Oryctolagus cuniculus: one gene and its partner. The protein of the gene in region 1 purifies or fractionates together with the protein of each later gene. This does not show direct contact. Links are inferred from orthologs where the notes say so. Each region holds a gene or a part of one and is shown on either strand. Other genes may lie near its edges.

Region 1 (4,244 bases):
CCTGCTCAACTCCGAGTTCTGCTTCATCCTCAAGGTGGGGGCGTGGGCGAGCCAGGCCGGCGGGGGGTAGGGGAGAGGGGGTGGGGGCGAGGCCGGGGCCAGGCCTGAGCCGCCCGGCCGCCTCGGCTCCGCTCTCCAGGTCCCCTTTGAGAGCGAGGACAACCAAGGGATTGTGTACGCCTGGGTGGGCCGGGCGTCGGACCCGGACGAGGCCAAGCTGGCGGAAGACATCCTCAACACCATGTTCGACGCCGCCTACAGCAAGCAGGTGCGCGGGGCGGGGCAGGGACAGGTGGAGGGGCAGGTGCATGGAGACGGGGCGGGCAGGGGGGGAGCTGGGGCCCGGGTGGGGCTGACACCCTCCCCGCAGGTCATCAACGAGGGGGAGGAGCCCGAGAACTTCTTCTGGGTGGGCATCGGGGCTCAGAAGCCCTACGACGAGGACGCCGAGTACATGAAGCACACGCGGCTCTTCCGGTGAGCACCAGGGCTGCGCCCCGCCCCGCCCCCAGGCGGCCCCTGCCCCTGCTCACTCCTAGCGGCCCCGCCCTGCCCCGCCCCTCAGGTGCTCCAACGACAAGGGCTACTTCGCCGTGACTGAGAAGTGCTCCGACTTCTGCCAGGACGACCTGGCCGACGACGACATCATGTTGCTGGACAACGGCCAGGAGGTGAGGCCCCGCCCCGCCCGCCCCATCTCCCAGGGCCGGCCGTGAGTGCGGCACTGCAGCGCCTGCTGTCCCCCTAGGTCTACATGTGGGTGGGCACCCAGACCAGCCAGGTGGAGATCAAACTGAGCCTGAAGGCCTGCCAGGTGAGCCGGGGGCCGGGTGCTGGGGGCCCGGGGCGGGCGGCCGCATGCAGCCCTGCGCCCACCTCCTCTCCCCCCGCCCTCGGCCCCCAGGTGTACATCCAGCACCTGCGCTCCAAGGAGCAGCCCCGGCGCCTGCGCCTGGTCCGCAAAGGCAACGAGCAGCACGCCTTCACCCGCTGCTTCCACGCCTGGAGCGCCTTCCGCCAGGCCCCGGCCTAGGCCCGCGCCGGCCCCGCCCCCGCGTCTGCGTCCCCCAGCACACAGCCCCGCCGGTGCCCTGGGAGAGCAGACTCCACCCCCCGGGGATAAAGCACAGGCGGTTGTTCTCTAAGAGACAGTAAATGCTTTTATTTTCAATATTAAAAAATCAGTATTTTTAATACTAAAACCACTAATTTTAACAAAATGACAGAAAAAGATCCCCCCAAGGTACAATCTACAGGGCCCGCCCGACTCCCCTCACACACACATACACGCACACATCTGACCAGGCCTCAGTGGTCCCAGGTTCTCACGCACGCACGCACGCGTAGGGCTGGCCCAGGAGCAAGTACCAAAATAGTTTCAGAAATGACCATGGAGGCCAGCACAGGCGTTAGAAAAATACTCTGCGGAGGGAGGGGGGCGGGGAGGTGGCCCAGTGCACCCCGGTGCCACCCACACCCCAGGCTGCCTCGCTCGGGGCCCACTCCAGCCCCCAGGTTAGCAGGTGCGGGTCTGTGTTAGGGGAGGGGCCGGCAGGAGGCGGGCAGCCCCGTGTGCTGGCCCACGCAGGACAGCGGCAGTGACGAGCGCCAGCAAGGAGGTGTCAGCTGCCGTCCGTGCCCGGCGCAGACCCCCACGGGGCAGGGCCAAGCCAGGCTCCAGGCTGGCTCTGCTGGCGGGACCCTAGCTCGTCAGCTGCAGCCGCTGACACACGTCTGACCTGGCCCCACCCCACACACCTGTGAGTCCAAGGGCGAGCGGCCGGCTCTGCCTTCCTGACCCTCTGCTATGAAAATCACTGCGAGGCCCCCAGGGAGGCGGCCAGGTGCGGGCCCCCAGGGAGATGGGGGGCGCTGGGCAGGGCCCTGCAGCCCCTCACTTGATCAGGATGGCGCAGGCGTGGGCCTCGTCCCCCGACAGGTTCCTCAGGTTCTTCTCTGCCTCCTCGGGAGAGCTGGGGGTGCAGTGGTGGTCAGAGGGGAGGAAGGGGGTGGGGGGCGGGGGGCAGGGAGGGGCGGCGGCCTCACCCCAGGAACTCCTTCACATCATCCACCGTGACGTCCCCTGTGGTGTCCAGTGTTGTGTCCGCGCTGGTGGCCGAGTCCAGAGACATGGGCGACAGCGTGGCCTCGGGCGGCTCGGGGGTCTCTGCAGGGAGCCCAGTGATCACCCACCCAGGGCCCTCAGCGCCCCATGCCCCTGGGGGCCAGGTGCAGACACCCCCGCCCCGCCAGCCTCAGGGGCTCAGCTGCTGGTCCCGGCTCCCCGGCCAGGGCCGCCCCCGGCCCACAGTCCCTCACCAGCTCCCTGGCTGTGGGCAGGATCCGGGCTTCCCTCGCAGCTCTGGGGGGCCAGGATGATGCCTGGGGTCCCGTTGGCCTGGCTCAGCTTGGGTGACTCCTGCAGCCTGTGGGCGTGGACAGGGCCACAGTGGGTGCTGCCAGCAGGTGCCCCGAGGTGGCAGGGGAGCCCCGGCCCTCCCGACACCCCACACACCTGGCCCGCCGGGCATCTCGGGGCCAGCTGATGTCCAGCGAGCACAGTGGCTCGGTGATGTTGCGGGCACTCAGGGAGAAGCGTTCAAACTCGGACGGGGAGATCAGGTAGAAGCCTGGGCGGGCGGGAGAGCAGAAGCAAGGGGGTGTCAGGAGACAGGCGGCGGCCGCAGCCCTGGGCCAGCCCCCGGCCCCGTTCCCGCAGGCCTCACTCACCCTGGCCGTGCCGAGTGAACACACAGGAGGCGATACCGCTGATGTCCTCTTTGCGGATGCACGCGTAGTGCACCTGGGGCCGCAGGCCGGGCACCGAGAACACGTGCACGTCCCCCAGGTTGGTGAGGCAGGCCAGGCACGTCTCGGCATAGTCCTCGCAGGCCACGCTCGCAAACGTGGCCAGGGCCACCTTGCGCACGCGGCAGCCCTCGTGGGCTGTCAGCTTGAACTTGGTCTTGGCACTCACTTTGGGCAGCGTGAACACCTGGCAGCGGGCAGGCAGCCCGTGAGCACGGAGCTGGCCGGGCCCAGGCCCTCACCCTGCCGCCTGTATGCCCGGGACACACGGACACACGTTCCTCCCCCAGTGCAGGGCATCCCAGACGCTGGCCAGCCTCCCCCATCTGGGGTCACCCCGGCCTCGCGGTGTGGGTCTCAAGGTGGTGTCTGCCGGCTGGTGGCATTCCCATGGGCCTGGGGAACGTGGGCAGGGCCCCGAGGACCCGCTCACCTTGAACTGTTCCTCGGAGGCGATGAGCACGGCGTGGCCCCCCTGCATGTCGGGCGCCTGCGCCAGGTCCCGAGAGGCCTCGTAGGGCTCGGGCAGCGGGCGGCCGCGCCCGTCCAGCACGGCGATGGCCACCACGGGCGCCCGGTGCATCAGCTGCACCTCCTTGCCCAGCACGGCTTCCACCGCCCGCTCGGGCCGCTTCTCGCCGCCCGCCGAGGCTGCCGGCACCTCCAGTGCGTAGGCAAACACGGAGCCCGAGTTGGTGCCCGCCCACATGGTGGGCCCATGGTGGGCCGCTGCGGAGACGGGGGTGCCGTGAGAGGGCGCGCCACTTCCGGCACCCGGGCGCAGCTGCCATCTGCGAACCCCACACAGCACCCTGCCCCCTCCAGCCCCATCCCACAGCACCCTCAGCCCCCGCCCTCCATCCTCATTTTGCAGGCCACCCCAGCCCCTGCCGCACCCCCACCCACAGTGGGGAGACAGAGCCTCTTGACCACAGAAAACCCCAGGCCACCCATCAGCCCTGCTCTGGCTGTGGCAGCCGAGCACCACACACTCCTTGGAGACGCGGAGCAGGATGGAGGGGCCAAGGAAGGTGTGGCACCCACCACACAGCACCCTGACCCACTGCCGGACCTAAGCCAGCCCTGAGGTGCCAGCTGCCAGCCTCGGCCACCATGAACGGGAGTCAAAACCCCATGCCTGGGGCCGGCGCTGTGGCGTAGTGGGTAATGCTGCTGCCTGCAGTGCCGGCATCCCATGTGGGCGCCGGTTTGAGTCCCAGCTGCTTCACTTCTGATCCAGCCCATTGCTAGTGCGCCTGGGAAGGCAGCAAAAGATGGCCAAGTGCTTGGGCCCCTGCACCCACGTGGGGGACCTGGAAGAAGCTCCTGGCTCCTGGCTTCAGCCTGGCCCAGCCCTGTCATGGCCACCTGGGAAGTGAACCAGTAGATGGACAATCCCTTTGTCTATCTCTCCCTTTAAAAAAAATTAATTATAA
Region 2 (5,624 bases), on another chromosome or scaffold:
CAAGGTGTCAACACCAGACACCTGTCACTCTACAGTCTACATAGGTGTCAACACCACGGTCAGGTGTTTGACCGCAGGACTCGTTTTCCTTGGAAACATCTGATATTGTTAGCAAGAAATACATAGTAGGAGCTCAACCTCAGTAGCATCAGGCAGAGAAAGCCCCAATCCTAGCCATTTTGGAAGTGCATAAACATGCTGAATCAGCTCCCCAGAGGCCTTACTGGGTATCTGGATGCACTGTCTGCTTTACAGAAAAGCCCATCAGCTCTGCTTATGCCCTAAACACCACTCACCAGGTTTACGTTAAAATTAGAACTCACCCAAACCACCTCTTGCTGCTGATAAATAAAAGTTTGCAAAACACATTCCTGAAATATAAACACTAATATTCATCAAGAAAATAAGGTGACTCATATCCAAAGCTCTCAAAAAGTTCGGTCACACCTTCATGTTTCAAAGCAAATAAAAACTCAGGGAACACCCTTCCTATCAGCCAGTCTATGATGTTATCAGAAGTCACAGTTTCTCCCCCATTCCCTGGCTGGCATCACAGCACAGGCGGCCGCTGCGTCCTGATTCGTCTCCGGGTTATCACTCAGCCTGACTCACCACCCGGAACGACAGCTGAGAGGTTAACGTTTCGGGGGCTTCACTGCTTCGGCTCGAGTGTGTGGATGAGAATTCTTTGCTCAACAACCTTTTTCTCTTGCTTAACTCATTTGATAAAAATAGTGGGAAACCCTATGGCTTCAAAGTCAGATATGCCCTCTGTAAATGCTGGCAGGGGAAACACACTAGAGAAACTGTCACGCTTCCTGCAGCAGAACAAGAGGGTAGAGAACTTTTTACCACACGAAGAGAGCTGCCAAGAGACAGACTCAAGACTCAAGCAACCATTCCCCACTCCAGGACCCATTCACAGCTTTGTTTAACCGGCCTGGTTCCTCCCAGCCATTCACAATGTGTCAGACTCCCGCCCCCCACTATCTGCTGGCACATTTTAGAAATGACAACTTAATTTTAATGTCCTATTCGCCTGTGAGTAATTAGGAACTGTTCCGGCTCCAAGACTGTCCCAAGGTTACTAAAGGGCACCTCCATCAGTACTGAGAACTTCCCCAACTCTAGAGAAACAATTAGGGAGATAAATCAGTTACCAAAGAAAAGCCACGTGGTTTCTGGTATCACGAATTCAACCAGCTTGTTGACACTGTCCACTATGTTGATTACCTGTAACCATTCTTCCCTTCCCAGGCCAAGGTAATCCGGCCGACACTACTGATGTCCAGGCAGGGGCCGAGGACCCTGAGACGGCTCCGCCTGCTCTCCAGTGCTGGCTCCAAGCCCGCAGCCACGGCTGCCCCAGGAGCCCAGAAAGCCGAAGCAGCACCAAAGCAAAATGTGCTTCAAAAATCTCCCGCAGCAGAGGTTTTTAAGAGGACAAACAGCTTATTCAACCCATTCAGAAGTAAACACATCAACAACAGACATCGAGAAGCAGGGGCACGGGTGGCCGGGGCCCTCACTGCTCTGCCCATCCTCGCGGGACCACAGTTCCCGGCGCCTGGTCTCAGGCCGCCCCGATTCCACCTCGTGGCCGGCGCAGGCCTCGGGACGCCGGCAGGCCAACACCTAACACCCGGTTTGGGCCTCAGGTATGTGGGAGATTCTCAAGTCAGCTGACAGGAGGCGGCGAGAGCCTGGCATGCCAGCCCGCGCCGGGAGGAAATGTTTGCTTTCTTTCAGCAGCGCACCTACTAGCTCCACTCATTTTTTCCCTGCCACTTGCTACCAAGGTCGGCCTGGAAGCGGAATTTTGAGTGATGCAATATCACAAGTGCCTTTTCTTGACCTCAACTCCCACAAACCCGAGATGTGAATCCCTGCCCTGCTCCGCCGGGGCCCACGGAGGCCGCGCCGCGATCACAACCGCACTCCCCCGACAGGACGGTGGCCGAGACCAGCAGCCACCCCGGCCCGGCCCAAACACCATCGTCCCGCCGCGTCCCGGCTGCAGAGCCGCGCAGAGCCGCGGGACGGGACCGCCGCGCGCCCCGGCCCCTTCCGTCAGGACCGCCGGGCGCCCCCCGGCCCCGCGCCCCCGGCCCCCTTCCATCGGGACCGCCGGGCGCCCCCCGACCCCGGCCCCTTCCGTCAGGACCGCCGGGCGCCCCCCGGCCCCGCGCCCCCGGCCCCCTTCCATCGGGACCGCCGGGCGCCCCCCGACCCCGGCCCCTTCCGTCAGGACCGCCGGGCGCCCCCCGGCCCCGCGCCCCCGGCCCGCTTCCATCGGGACCGCCGGGCGCCCCCCGGCCCCGTGCCCCCGGCCCCCTTCCGTCCACGCGGCTTCGCGACTGTGGAAGCCGATCCGCTGTTCTCCTCCAACGCGCTCCGGCCTCGCCGGGTCTCTCCGAGCCGCCGCGGCTGGCACGGCCCAGGGCCTGGATTATTCTCGCTCAGGAGCGCCGAGCCGCGGCAGGCGCAGCCCGCGGAGCCCACCTGCTCACCTGCCGCCCGCCTCCGGGACCGGGGCCTGCGAGACTCCCGGGCCGCCAGCAGGGCCCAGCTCGGAACCCGGGCAGCGGACGGCGGCGCGGAGACCCCAGCGCACGCGCTGCGGGTGCCGGTGCTGATCCGCAGACGAAACGCGCTCCAGGGCTCCCCAGGAATCCGCCCGGCCGGGAGCAAAGCAACCCAAAGGGCGCTCGCCCCCTCGAACCCGAACGGGGGGACCGGGCGCCTCCGGCCCTGCCCCGGACAGGGCGCCCCACGGCTCCCACCTCGGAAACCAGAAGCCGGCGCCCCCACCCCGCCCTCGCGGGCCCCCGAGGCTCGGCCCGCGGCCTCCCCCGGCGCCCGGCCTCCCGACCGCCGCTCCGCCCAGGCCGGCCCCGCGCACCTTGCTCTTCACCTCCATGGTGCCCAGGCAGCCGCTGCCCGCCCCGTGCCGGTGGCTGCGGTTCATGTCGAGCGCCGGGCCCCGCGGCGGCCTCGTCGGCACCGGCCGCCCCTCGGGCGCGCGGGGAGCGAGTGCGCGGCGGGGCGCGCGGGTTCGGAGGGCGGCCGCGGCCCGGGCGCTCCGCGCAGGCACCTGCAGAGGGGCGGGCTGCTCACGCGGCGGGACGGAGGGGCGCACTGGCGGCGCGGCGGGCGCGGACGCTGCTCCCTGCCTGCGGGCCCGCGGCGGCGGCGGCGGCGGAGGAGGAGAGGGCGGAGCGCAGGCTCCCAGCGCCGCAGCCTCGCTCTCGGCCACCTCCCCCGCGGGCCCGCGCGCGCGCGCCCGAGCCGGGCCAGAGCCGCGGCGCGTGCGCGCGCTCACCTGCAGCCTCCGGAGCAGCCTCGGCCGCTCGCGCTCCGCCCACACCCAATAGGAAGCGCGCACCTGCGCCCGCGGCGCCAACCAATCGAAACACGACTCGCGGGGCGCATGGGCGGGCCTCCCTCGACAAAGTCCCGCCCGCCGCCGCACGATTGGTCCCGCGCGGCGGGGGAGGGGCGGGATTACCTGAAGCCCGGGGCCGCCTCTCTGGACCCCGCCAGAGAGCTGGAGAGCGCATGCGCAGGAGCTCGAGTTTCCGCCCAGAGAAGGCCGGCCGGAAGCGCAAGCGCACCTGAGGAGGGAGTCCGGCGGGTGTGCCTTCTGCGCACGCGCGGGCGCGCGCCGCGGGACTTGGTGCCGCTTGGGCTGGCGCAGCTCGGCGCGCGCTGGTCACTCGCTCGGTGCGGGGGACTGGGCGCGCGGCCGTATCGGTGGCCGAGGCACCGAGTGGCTTGCTCGGCCCCCGCCCTGCTGTGACTTTGGGTTGTGTCGCCCTTCACAACGCCCCCTTCCCCACCCTTTCGTGTTTTTAGGGTCCCGCTGCAACTCTCGTGCGCAAAATTCAGGTTTTTCGCCTCTGCGCGCTTATCTGAGGGAGCGCCTCGGCTCCGTGGGCTGGGCTCTGCGGGAGGCGGCTGCAGCCCGCCCCCACCCGTCCGTCGGGTCCCCAGGGGTCGGTGGGGGGAGCGAGGGGGCCTGAGGCGCCGGGGGGGGGGTCCACGCAGGGTTTCCGGATCCCGCTTAGCCTGGGCCCTGGGGGGGCGCGGACGGGAGCCCCGGGCCCTGCCGCCCTGCGAAGGGGCTCCCTGCATGCCGTGGAGACCCCCTCCTGTGCGAGCAGATGCCTGGGGTGCTGCTGCTCCTGCGTCCTCGGGACCTCCGCCCCTAGACCCCAGCCCCCTCCCGGGCCCCGCCCCCTCCCGAGCCGCGCCCTGGCGGGTGCCCAGCTGACGGGGAGGTGTCTGCTGGCCAGCCGGGTCCAAAGGTGAGGAATTCCTCTCCCCGGAGCCGTGGGTCCGCCCGGGCGGAAGCGCAGGTGGAAACCGCCCCACGCTGAGCAGGGCCGCCCTCTTCACCCCGCGGGAAAACACCTGTGCCGCTCGGCGCCCGCGTGGCCAGGGGCAGCTGCAGGCGAAACTCGCCCTTCGCCTTCGTTCGGGGGCTCTGCTCTCGGCTTGTTTGGTCTCAAGAGCCCCCTAGACTACTGCAGAGGGGCCCAAAGCGTGTTCGTGTGTGTCAGGTCTGTCCGTGCTCACGGCATTGAGAGAGACGCGTCTGCAGCACGCGCTCCAGCTGCCATCCGTGATGTCATCACGTGCCGTGTTCCTTCTGGAAAACCCCACGGTGGGCTGGGAAGCAAGGCGCAACACCTGGGCGTCGTGAGCATGTGGCGTGGCAACCCCCCAGGACGGCCTGGGGCGCCCAGGCGTGCACTGTGATGGCCGCTGGACCAGGCTCGGTCGCCTGGGATTCTGCGTTCTCAGCTCTCGCCCTCCCTGCCCTGGGAGCAGGGCCGCAGCGCTGAGCCACCGCGGGGTGACGGAGCTTTATTGCTAGCAGTGCTGATTTATCAGGGCTTTTGAGAAGGAAGTTCCCGGGTGCCAACGCACCTGCGTGGGCCCGCATTCCTGGAGGTGGCGTCACATCCCCCTCCCCCGGGCGTGGCCTCCCTCTTCTCTTGGACTTTCCTTTCTGGATCCCGAGAGGAGCTGGCTCTGGAGGCCTGCATCACCCATCCCCGGGCGCCTGGGTTGTGCAAGGGAGGAATGAGGGAAGAGGTTCCAAAGTGATAGAGGGGCCGGCGGCGGCTTCTCACAGCCGTGGGGCCTGAGGCTCACCAGGCCTGTGTTTCAGCCTCCGCTGAGAAGCACGAAGCCCAGAGGCGTGGCTCAGAGAGGGATTTCTGTCCCTGCTCTGCTGTTTGAAGACTGGCCCTAATCTTCTTTCTCCCCGCCCCCAAATCCTCCCGTTAAAGCTGATCCAGACCTCCCCGTGTGCAAAGGAAAGCCAGCTCCACGCCTGGGAGGGTGACCGGGGCTCCAGTAAGGCAGGTGGTGGACAGGTCCACACCATCCTTGCGCAGGACCAGGCTCCGGAGATGCTCACGCCCCGGTCAAGCTTCTTACCCGCCCGAGGTCTGAAGGAATCGGGGCTGGGCTCTGCCTTACTCTTTCCCAGAGTTCTCTAAGTTCCGCACCCCCCCCCCACCCGCGACATCTAGCTCGCCAGGTGGAGAAAGTTTGTCATCTTCCACCGCCAGCTTTCTCAGCTGACATCCTGCATGGCGATGCCTTGCTCTCTC

What was found.
Region 2: the proteins of LLGL1 (region 1) and PARD6B purify together in Homo sapiens (affinity purification with mass spectrometry; 5 studies listed by BioGRID and IntAct, counting the BioPlex papers as one, with this or other methods). This does not show direct contact. The link is inferred for Oryctolagus cuniculus from reciprocal best matches to the Homo sapiens genes LLGL1 and PARD6B.

What each region holds. Positions count from the first base shown.
Region 1 is NC_091448.1:62,277,882-62,282,125, forward strand, and holds the end of LLGL1 (lethal(2) giant larvae protein homolog 1), read right to left. Parts: intron 3,538-4,244; coding exon 3,242-3,537; intron 2,996-3,241; coding exon 2,731-2,995; intron 2,631-2,730; coding exon 2,516-2,630; intron 2,427-2,515; coding exon 2,320-2,426; intron 2,168-2,319; coding exon 2,047-2,167; intron 1,974-2,046; coding exon 1,895-1,973; 3' UTR 1,148-1,894; downstream 1-1,147. Other genes in the region: FLII (protein flightless-1 homolog), read left to right, coding at 1-34, 140-268, 371-477, 566-671, 749-814, 905-1,033. UniProt on the Homo sapiens protein: Cortical cytoskeleton protein found in a complex involved in maintaining cell polarity and epithelial integrity. Involved in the regulation of mitotic spindle orientation, proliferation, differentiation and tissue organization of neuroepithelial cells.
Region 2 is NC_091442.1:10,161,568-10,167,191, forward strand, and holds the start of PARD6B (partitioning defective 6 homolog beta), read right to left. Parts: upstream 3,286-5,624; 5' UTR 2,969-3,285; coding exon 2,903-2,968; intron 1-2,902. UniProt on the Homo sapiens protein: Adapter protein involved in asymmetrical cell division and cell polarization processes. Probably involved in formation of epithelial tight junctions.